Linked DNA regions of Arabidopsis thaliana. The protein of the gene in region 1 interacts with the protein of each later gene in a pairwise test. Each region holds a gene or a part of one and is shown on either strand. Other genes may lie near its edges. The genes, in order: MOS6 and AT2G45820.

Region 1 (5,499 bases):
GATGGTTGAGGTTCTCACGGCGACGTCTAGTTCTTGCTCTTCGGGAATCTCGGGATATGGATCAGCAAAGTCGTTGCGAGATATGGATTGTCTTGATGAAGATGATGATGATGATGAAAATTATGGTAATGATGATGGAGGTGATGAGATGATTGATGCGAAAGCTGAGGAGTTTATTGTGAGATTTTATGAACAGATGAGGATGCAAAATCAGGCTTATACAGAACGTTACAAAGCTAAAGAGATGATGATGGTCTAAATCGCACATTGTAATTCTATTCACTGAAGCATAATGTCATATTACATGAGTATACATATATGCATGGAGACGTGCACAGAGTTTGTCTTTGATTATTTCGATGATTTTTTTTTTTCGTCTATTATTTCGATGATTTAAGTAATGATATATATATTGTATTCAGTTAGTCTTGATTGTATACTTTTATAGTAGACGATGAATTTGTACGCAAACTATATTAAAATATATTTATAAAACTGATGTCATTTTGGTTTACTATATATCATCTTCAAGTCATAATGCTAGAACCAAATTGCAGCTAGCTTCTTGTGAGTGATATAGTAGATGATGAATTTGTACGCAAATTATATACATGACTCTGAGCTTCTTTGGCAGTTTTCCTAGGGTGTCATATACATGACTCTGAGCTACAAGCCTTTGTTGTTGTCATATTTCAAGCAATTCGTTTTTTTCTTTTTTTTCTTTTGAACCAAAAACCCAATAATGAGTTAAGTAGAAGTTTATAATTCACTTATGGGTACAATCCAATATAATTTAGAATTTTCCTATTGGTTTGAGAATCCAATTTGCTTGAAGAGAAAATCAGAGACATGGAAGCTAAAGAAGAGAGATTAGAAGTTTATGATGTGGAGAGTAAATTGAATCGGTTGCAATTCGGTTTATTATACTAGATTTTTGGTTTGGCATTAGGTTTATGACGTTAACCTAATAATAAACTACAAAATTTGGTTTTGTGGAGACTAAATTCTCTAACTTTCGATTTAGGAGGATATAATAATTTACCTTCTATTTTGTGTTGACTGTAAACGAAGTTCTAAATCTGTGTAGTTGTGGTACTATGTGAAACTGCGTAGGGGAATAGAGGTCGTTCACTCAAGTTTATAAGATGGCACAAATAGAAAGAAATCAATTTAGTTGTTCTCTCATTTGAAAGGAATTCAAGCAATATGGTTGTTCTCGTCTTTCCAAGATGCATTGAATAGTAAAGCATCTAATTAGTAAAGTTCTCATAATGCTCAGTTGCTCACATTGATCTTTTTACCCCTTTTAATTAGAGTACAGTCTTGTAAATTACGTTGTTTTAGCCAAGTTTGGCCTATGTAATAATTTATTTGGGCTTTAAAAAGCCTCTTCAAATTAGAGTATTGCTGCTGCAGAAAAAGAAAAGAATATTTGCGTGGAGAAAATAAAGGAAAACAAATCCATAATTAGTAGTCGGTGTATACATACCTAAAAAGGCAGAGAGACGTTAAGATTCAAATTTCAAAAAAGAAAAAAAATATGAGTGGCAGGTTCGTTATTAATGATAAAACTTAGGGGCAATATTGGATTAACAACAAGTCTCCTGAATCGTGGCCTCCTAAGTACACGCTCTTGTATAAATACACTCGCATCAAACTCCAAAACCCTTATCACTCTCTCATTAATCGAACTTGGCGTGTTTAAATAATCTTCCGATCGTTAATTCTCTTCCGATTTCGATTCGATTTTAGCGGCGATGTCTCTCAGACCTAGCGCGAAGACGGAGGTGCGACGGAATCGGTACAAAGTAGCGGTCGATGCGGAGGAAGGACGGCGGAGGCGAGAGGATAACTTGGTTGAGATCAGGAAGAACAAGAGAGAGGAAAATTTGCAGAAGAAGAGATTTACGTCTTCTATGGCTTTTGGCTCAGCAACGGGACAAACGGAACAGGATCTTTCTTCAGCGAACCAAGTATGTGATTCTTTCTTTTGTTTACGATTCCACCTTTAGTTTTTTCTGATTTTATGTTCCGATTTGATCAATTAGATCGTCTCTGTTTCATATGAATTTCTAATTGGAGATCGATTTGTTCTAGATTTGAAGTTCTTGCGATGTTTCTTTGTTTTTGGTCATAGATTTTGTATTTGATTGCAAAAACTTGCGATGTGTATGTGTTGTTTGGTGAGAGTATTTGTTACTAATGTCTGTTTAATTGACTGGGAATTTGAGCGGTGTTGAATTTGACATGTAAAGAGAATTAGGGTTGATATCTCAACGGAGATCATCAAATTTACTTTAGCTAGAGGAGATTTTTGACTATGATAGTGTCTCTTCGTGTTACAGTTAAAAGATAATCTACCTGCTATGGTTGCTGGAATCTGGTCAGAGGATAGCAATTCACAATTGGAGGCAACAAATCTCTTGCGGAAACTGCTTTCTATTGGTTTGTGATTTATGTTATTGATCGTTACTAGTAGTACATAACAATCAGTGTTTTGGTTAGAGTCTTTAGCAGTTGTTTTTTCTTTTGTAGAACAAAATCCTCCTATCAATGAAGTTGTACAATCTGGTGTTGTTCCTCGTGTTGTGAAGTTTCTTTCCAGGGATGACTTCCCCAAACTTCAGGTGAGTCGCAGCTGCAGTCGTTTTTTTTTGGATATATTGATAGTTACTAGTTTGATGTATTTGTTAACTTGCTTTTGCTGTTTACTTCTGCAATGTGTTTTAGTTTGAGGCAGCTTGGGCGCTCACCAACATTGCTTCAGGGACATCAGAGAACACAAATGTCATCATTGAAAGTGGAGCTGTCCCGATATTCATCCAACTTCTCAGCTCTGCTAGTGAAGATGTCCGCGAACAGGTATATGTTTAAATCCTCACTGTTATCGTTATTGTCACAGAAGAAACACTTAGACATTAGGATCAAGTGGAAATTCATTGAGACTGTTACCATTCTGAGTTCTGGTCTTTCCCTGACTGAGTATAGGCTGTTTGGGCATTGGGAAATGTTGCTGGAGACTCACCAAAATGCCGGGATTTAGTCCTAAGTTACGGTGCCATGACACCTCTTCTGTCTCAATTCAATGAGAATACAAAGCTTTCAATGCTGAGAAATGCTACATGGACATTATCAAACTTCTGCAGAGGGAAGCCCCCACCCGCATTTGAACAGGTTTCCTTAAATATACACACTTTATTGAATCTCCACAATATTTTTTAACATGCTTCTGATATTTTGTTACTTAAAACATTTTTCGAGCAGACACAACCAGCTTTACCAGTTCTTGAGCGCCTTGTGCAATCAATGGATGAAGAAGTTCTCACAGATGCATGCTGGGCTCTGTCATACCTCTCGGATAATTCAAACGACAAAATACAAGCAGTCATTGAAGCAGGAGTTGTTCCTCGCCTCATCCAGCTCTTAGGGTAAGCATCTGATAGTGATCATTTTAATTTTTATTGCCAGGCATGATTATGTTATCTGATTTATGTGCTTCCTCTTTCTCCGTATAGTCATTCGTCGCCATCAGTGCTGATTCCTGCTCTTCGTACCATTGGAAATATTGTAACCGGGGATGATCTACAGACTCAGGTGCATATAATACATTCACCATTCGATTTCGAGTTTTCAGAAGCAAATGTCTCTAACTTATTTTCCTAACACAGATGGTTCTCGACCAGCAAGCGCTTCCTTGTCTTTTGAACCTTCTAAAAAACAATTACAAGAAGAGTATCAAGAAGGAAGCTTGCTGGACTATCTCCAACATTACAGCTGGAAATGCAGATCAGATACAAGTGAGTTTTGTTTATAATATATGGCATTTAACAAGAAAGTCGAAAATTGAAGTTTCCTGTGTCTGATTTTATTCGAACCCGTATGTGCAGGCAGTGATTGATGCAGGTATAATCCAGTCTCTTGTTTGGGTGCTTCAAAGTGCAGAGTTCGAAGTAAAAAAAGAAGCTGCTTGGGGAATATCAAATGCTACTTCTGGTGGCACTCATGATCAAATCAAGTAAAACCATAAAAACCGAAACGAAATGTTTCCTTAACAAAGAATGGTCATTTCTAAAACACGTCTGTGTTTATTGTTTGTTTCTTCTCAGGTTTATGGTGAGCCAAGGCTGTATCAAACCTCTATGCGATCTCCTTACTTGCCCAGATCTGAAAGTTGTAACGGTTTGCTTAGAAGCACTAGAGAACATTCTCGTGGTTGGAGAAGCAGAGAAGAACTTAGGTCACACAGGAGAAGACAACCTCTACGCTCAAATGATTGACGAAGCAGAAGGGTTAGAGAAGATTGAGAATCTTCAGAGTCACGACAACAATGATATCTACGACAAAGCCGTGAAGATCCTCGAAACATTTTGGACTGAAGACAATGAAGAAGAAGGCAACGACGAGAATCATGCTCCACAATCTGGTTTCCAGTTCGGAAGCACCAATGTTCCTCCTGGTCAATTCAACTTTATTTGAAAGGTAAAATAGTTGAATTGGGTCATAGAAGTTGCTTGGACTTTTAAGTAAGCCACATATCGAACGAAAGTGGTAACATCACAAAGATGAAATATCAATCTTCTCTATCTCTTCATGCCCACTCCTTAACTCGTGGACATGAACTATGAAGAAACATAGTACGATTTTCTTTTCTTTTTGGAAGTTTGTCTCAATAACTAAATCATTTGGGGAAGAGAAACAATTATTCTGTGTTAGCCATCATCTCGTCTTTCAACAAAGTTCCCTTTTTTCATATATTAGTGCCATTACAAAATCGTAGTTATGCCTTAACTAAACCAGAAACATTTTTATTCAATAGTTAATCATTTTTACTCGCAATTTTAGAAAACAGAGAAGCTAGAAATAGTAATATACGCTTGTGGAGGTTTGAGGCAACGGTCAAAACTTCAAGAGCAATATACGCATGTGGAGTTTTTATTGGGTACTTTGGTGTCTAATTACAAATAGGAGAGATTAGTGGTGATTAAGTGGTTATTATCATGGTCATAATTTCTATATGCGAGAAATTAGGGTTTAGGCTATGTGACTAATTCGTGTATTTAAAACACTCTCATTGTTTTATATCCAACAGACAACAAGAACAACAACATAGCCAGATATAATGCTGTCTTCACCAGCTTTTGCTGCAGCACGTTCTACTCTCGGTCGTCGTCTTCATGCGAAGAGACTATCTTCTTCTACTGGTCGAACCGCTGATCCAGAGATTCATGCCCGTAACGATGGAGACGAGCCTAGTCTTTTTCCATCAGACCCCGAGGTATATTTTGACTTTGTTGTTTATATATGTCAAGCTTAGCTGTCACAAGTCACAACTAAATTGTTTGTGATATGTTGTTATTGTTGATGTAGGGTTTGGATGATGTAGCGAACCCGAAGACTCCAGCGGATGAGGATGTACCGGATATTCGACCACCCGGTTTTGTAAAGGAACCGCTTTCTCCGCCAAAAAATCCCAGAGATACTTCACACAAGCTTGAATCT
Region 2 (4,231 bases), on another chromosome or scaffold:
GGAACAGAGTAGCTTTAGCGATGCTTTTTGCTGGATGCGACGCCGTTTTAAGATAGACATACTTATTCTTGTTCGTTAGAAGATTGTTGTTGTTCCTCTTCATGCTTTTCCGTTGAAGCATGAATCTATATCTATCTCAGCTTTATATATATCTATGTTCACAAACATTCAACAGGAAGAGAAGAAAAACGAGAATCAGGTGAGATTAAACGTTACCGAAGCTAGGAGGAAGCTCAAAGGTTTGATTCTGGTGATCGATTGGTGCTCTTCCACGAGGATTTGAATCTTGTTTCACGTTATCTTCAACACTAACCAGAGTTCACATCTTTTGTGTTAATGACGTTCATATTTTTGTGTGAATCTTGTTTACTTTTTAGTTTTTCGAAGAGTTAAAATGTTTTTAAATATTAAATAGATAATATTTTATTAATTAGTAGGAGACATTTGGTCATCCATATTTGGTATTCCTATGCTCAAATCACATATGGACATTGATATGTGATACACAAATGTTTCCCAAATAATCGTCTCTTATTAACGTTGTATTTATTGGTAAATAACTAAATACAAGACCTTTGATGTTCTTAGAAAAATAATCTGCTTACTACAAAAATAAAACTGCAAGAGTTCAATTAATTAAAGTCCTCTTTGGGAAAGTTTGTTATAAGTGCTTTAAACTGAATAAAAGAATCCGAACTTCGAAGAAAGAAGAAAGAAGATAAACCTTAACCCATTAAATAAAGGTCAGTGACATCATAGTCCATATTCGACCACTCATCATCATACAAGACAGATAATTAATCGTAAATAATTCCATGTTGTAGAGTACTTTTTATTATTATACAAATACATTAATACATCTTTCACAGGCTGTTCGAAACTGTGAGTCTGTGATTAGTGATTAGCCTTAATTAATTTACTTTATTGCTTTGTTAGAAAAAAAATTACACCTTTCTTTAAATTAAAACAAGTTGGGCAGGAAATTTAAAAACCCGTTGGGCCATTAGGATTCACAAAAGCCCAACACCTACAAAAAGAGATGTCTCCATCTCATAGTCCATATACCACATGCTTAAACCAGTTTAAATTGCATATACCACGCGCCACATAACCGGAAAGTTTTGTACACGCGCGAGACACAGACATTATCCTTTTTGTATCTGTCTTCCAGCGTGTCGAGTCAGTGAGGCTCCACGTCACCCTTTGATCCACTTAAATTTTAAAACTAAAATAATTGTTTAAATGAATTCGAGTGATTGATATTTTATTATAGATTTAATACACACCCGACACTCTGTCAATTCTATAGGCATACGAGCTCACTCCAAATTTAGATTCAGTTTTTTAATACGAACTTTTTAGTTAAGCCAAGATTAGCAATAATATAGATCATTTATTTTCTTGATTGTAGTTTGATTGTTGTTTTTCTCATAATAAAAAAATCCCAGCTAAAATCTGATTTTCAATTTTAAACCAATTTATATGGTAAACAAAATTTTAGTTCGGTATAATTGGAAGAATTAAGTTTTGTTGAATATCAGGAAAAAAGAAGGGGAGGACAAATTTTCTACAGAGGTGACGTGGCATCATTGAACCACTTTACTTGTCGGCAGTGAGGTGTGTTTAATCACGTGTAACGCATCCAATGCGTATGAGAGCTTTACAGCCGCACGATCACATGGGTACAAAAATCAACGGCGAAGCAAAACAAGAGTCTCACACTTATTAAACGCGCGTAGTACGCTCCACCGGTATAAGCTAACGGAGGATATAAAAACTCTTTAACTCATTATTGTCCTAAAATCTCAATTTTATCCATTTTCACGGAAAAAACATAAAATCTGTTCTTCTTCTTCGGCTGAGAGACAATGGCGGAGGAGCAAAAGACGAGTAAGGTTGACGTAGAATCTCCGGCTGTTTTAGCTCCGGCGAAGGAACCGACTCCTGCTCCGGTGGAAGTCGCGGATGAGAAAATTCATAATCCACCTCCCGTCGAGTCCAAAGCTCTTGCCGTTGTAGAAAGTAAGCTTTCTATTTACATACGTGTGTGTTTTATATATGTTAATCTTCTACTTAGGAGGATTCATTCATGTTTACGATGAATTATTATAGTATGTAATTCAGAATTCTTACGTTTGGAACTAAGGTTTCAATTTACAATTAACAAATGGATTTTCTTAAGATGCCTAAGGTTTTTGTGAGTTCTTTTGCATATGACTTGGTCTATACTCTATTTGTTTAGGTGAAATCCATCGCTGTTAGAATTTACAACTTCATCATGGCATTTTCAAGAGAATTATGTTTTTCGAGGATGATATTATTAAAATATGATTAATAGTAAAGCAATGTTCCCTGTAATTAGTGTTATCAAAAAGTGTATGGAATCATGACAAATTAGTTGTGGACAGCTATGAATTAAGGAAAGTGGGTTACTTTCTTAATATTCCTACATTTTTTCCTTCCTTTAAAGTTGCTTAACTCTTGGAAAATAACAATTAAGTACTAACTTTCCAGCAGTTTTTATAATCCTTGAACATTCATTTGTTCATCTTTATTTACTATCTGTAATTCCTTCTGTGTGGAGTTTCGTTTTATAAACTACTATTTTGATGACCTTATTAGCCAATTAGAGCAACAAAATTTAACTTAGTTAAAAGTGAGCTTCTTGCAACAAATATCCATGTGTTATACTTATAAGTGTGCTTCTTGCAGAACCCATCGAGGAGCATACACCTAAGAAAGCTTCATCTGGTTCGGCCGATAGAGGTCAGCTGATAACAACACTTTGTTTCTCATGTCCAGTTTCTTAGTTACTTAGTTCAGTAATTTACTTCAAATGTGTGTTGTGTGTGTTTGGTCAGATGTGATACTTGCCGACTTGGAAAAAGAGAAGAAAACGTCATTCATCAAAGCATGGGAAGAGAGTGAGAAGTCAAAGGCTGAGAACAGGTAAACTTTCATCATCTTCTCACCCAAAGATTACTATTGCTTACAGATCTCTGATGATCTTGAAATGGACAGGGCACAAAAGAAGATCTCTGATGTGCATGCTTGGGAAAATAGCAAGAAAGCAGCCGTAGAAGCTCAACTTAGGAAGATCGAGGAAAAATTAGAGAAGAAAAAAGCGCAGTACGGTGAGAAAATGAAGAACAAAGTAGCTGCAATCCACAAGTTAGCAGAAGAGAAGAGAGCAATGGTTGAAGCTAAAAAAGGAGAAGAGCTTCTCAAAGCTGAAGAAATGGGTGCTAAGTATAGAGCCACTGGTGTAGTACCAAAGGCAACGTGTGGATGTTTCTAAGCCTTTATTGAATTTGTATCTTTGTAACAATTCATCTCTGTTTCTTTCTTCTTCTTTTGTTTTTGTGTGATTCAACAACTCTTTTTAGTTTTTGTTATTTGTTTGGTCGTTTGTGTCTTGTTTACATATTGGGTGATTGTGTGTAAAAGTGAAAGATTAATGGAGTATAATTGTATGAAGCATCAAATCTTGTTTTGCCTTTTGTTTCAGTTGTACGACTTCACATCTGATCTGTAACTCTTAAAATGCTAAGACACTTGACTTGACACACACCAACTATAATCCTTAAACAGTTCAGGCACAGGTGGAGATCTAAAAGCAATAAACAAGCGAATGAAGTTAAAATGTCTTCTTCGGTTTGATCTCACTACTCGGAAATTCCTCTCAAGTCTTCAAGATGAGAGAACATCAAAATGAAAAGGTGAAAAGGTTTCTAAGAACATGAAAATTAGAGATGAGAGAAGACAACTTTAAGGTTCATATCATGCAGCAGAAGAAGTCTTCAATTCAAACCAAATCAAGCCGGTACTGCTTTAAAGGTTTAGACACAATCAACCGCTTCCATCGCCATCAACCACCTATACTGTCTCTTCTTGCCTCAGTACAGTACTCTATGTGTTGCCTTCATCTCTAGAACGAGCTAGTGGCTGCCAAAGCTGAATGATTTGCCTCCTCACTACACCTAAATAACCGCAAACCAAAATCAATGGAAATTTGGTCTATGAGCAATGCAGGTTAGTTCTAATGTCAAGATGCCTAGAGAGGGATTTGTCTCACCGGTTAGTCCATCAATGCCTTGCCGGGTAGAGAATGTACACCAGGTAGAAGTTACTGACAGTAGATTGCCTTGTCGATAAGTGAAGGTATGGGCTTGATTTCAGTTCCAAGTTCTTGCTCTGTCTGATACCTGTTGGAAACCAAATAATTGAGTAA

Evidence for each region.
Region 2: the proteins of MOS6 (region 1) and AT2G45820 interact in binary tests that used the Arabidopsis thaliana proteins (3 or more experiments, as listed by UniProt).

Annotation. Positions count from the first base shown.
Region 1 is NC_003075.7:949,861-955,359, reverse strand, and holds MOS6 (ARM repeat superfamily protein), read left to right. Parts: upstream 1-1,669; 5' UTR 1,670-1,757; coding exon 1,758-1,973; intron 1,974-2,345; coding exon 2,346-2,445; intron 2,446-2,535; coding exon 2,536-2,627; intron 2,628-2,730; coding exon 2,731-2,862; intron 2,863-2,988; coding exon 2,989-3,174; intron 3,175-3,264; coding exon 3,265-3,428; intron 3,429-3,515; coding exon 3,516-3,594; intron 3,595-3,668; coding exon 3,669-3,797; intron 3,798-3,887; coding exon 3,888-4,015; coding exon of another isoform or gene 4,016-4,019; exon of another isoform or gene 4,020-4,106; coding exon 4,107-4,476; 3' UTR 4,477-4,814; downstream 4,815-5,499. Other genes in the region: AT4G02160 (cotton fiber protein), read left to right, coding at 1-259; AT4G02140 (uncharacterized protein), read left to right, coding at 5,120-5,275, 5,368-5,499. UniProt on the Arabidopsis thaliana protein: Binds to conventional NLS motifs and mediates nuclear protein import across the nuclear envelope. Acts as a cellular receptor for the nuclear import of the virD2 protein of Agrobacterium, but is not essential for Agrobacterium-mediated root transformation.
Region 2 is NC_003071.7:18,862,214-18,866,444, reverse strand, and holds AT2G45820 (Remorin family protein), read left to right. Parts: upstream 1-1,703; 5' UTR 1,704-1,868; coding exon 1,869-2,022; intron 2,023-2,712; coding exon 2,713-2,766; intron 2,767-2,861; coding exon 2,862-2,949; intron 2,950-3,021; coding exon 3,022-3,298; 3' UTR 3,299-3,492; downstream 3,493-4,231. Other genes in the region: DTA2 (downstream target of AGL15 2), read right to left, coding at 1-121; AT2G45810 (DEA(D/H)-box RNA helicase family protein), read right to left, coding at 4,127-4,205. UniProt on the Arabidopsis thaliana protein: Exhibits a non sequence-specific DNA-binding activity.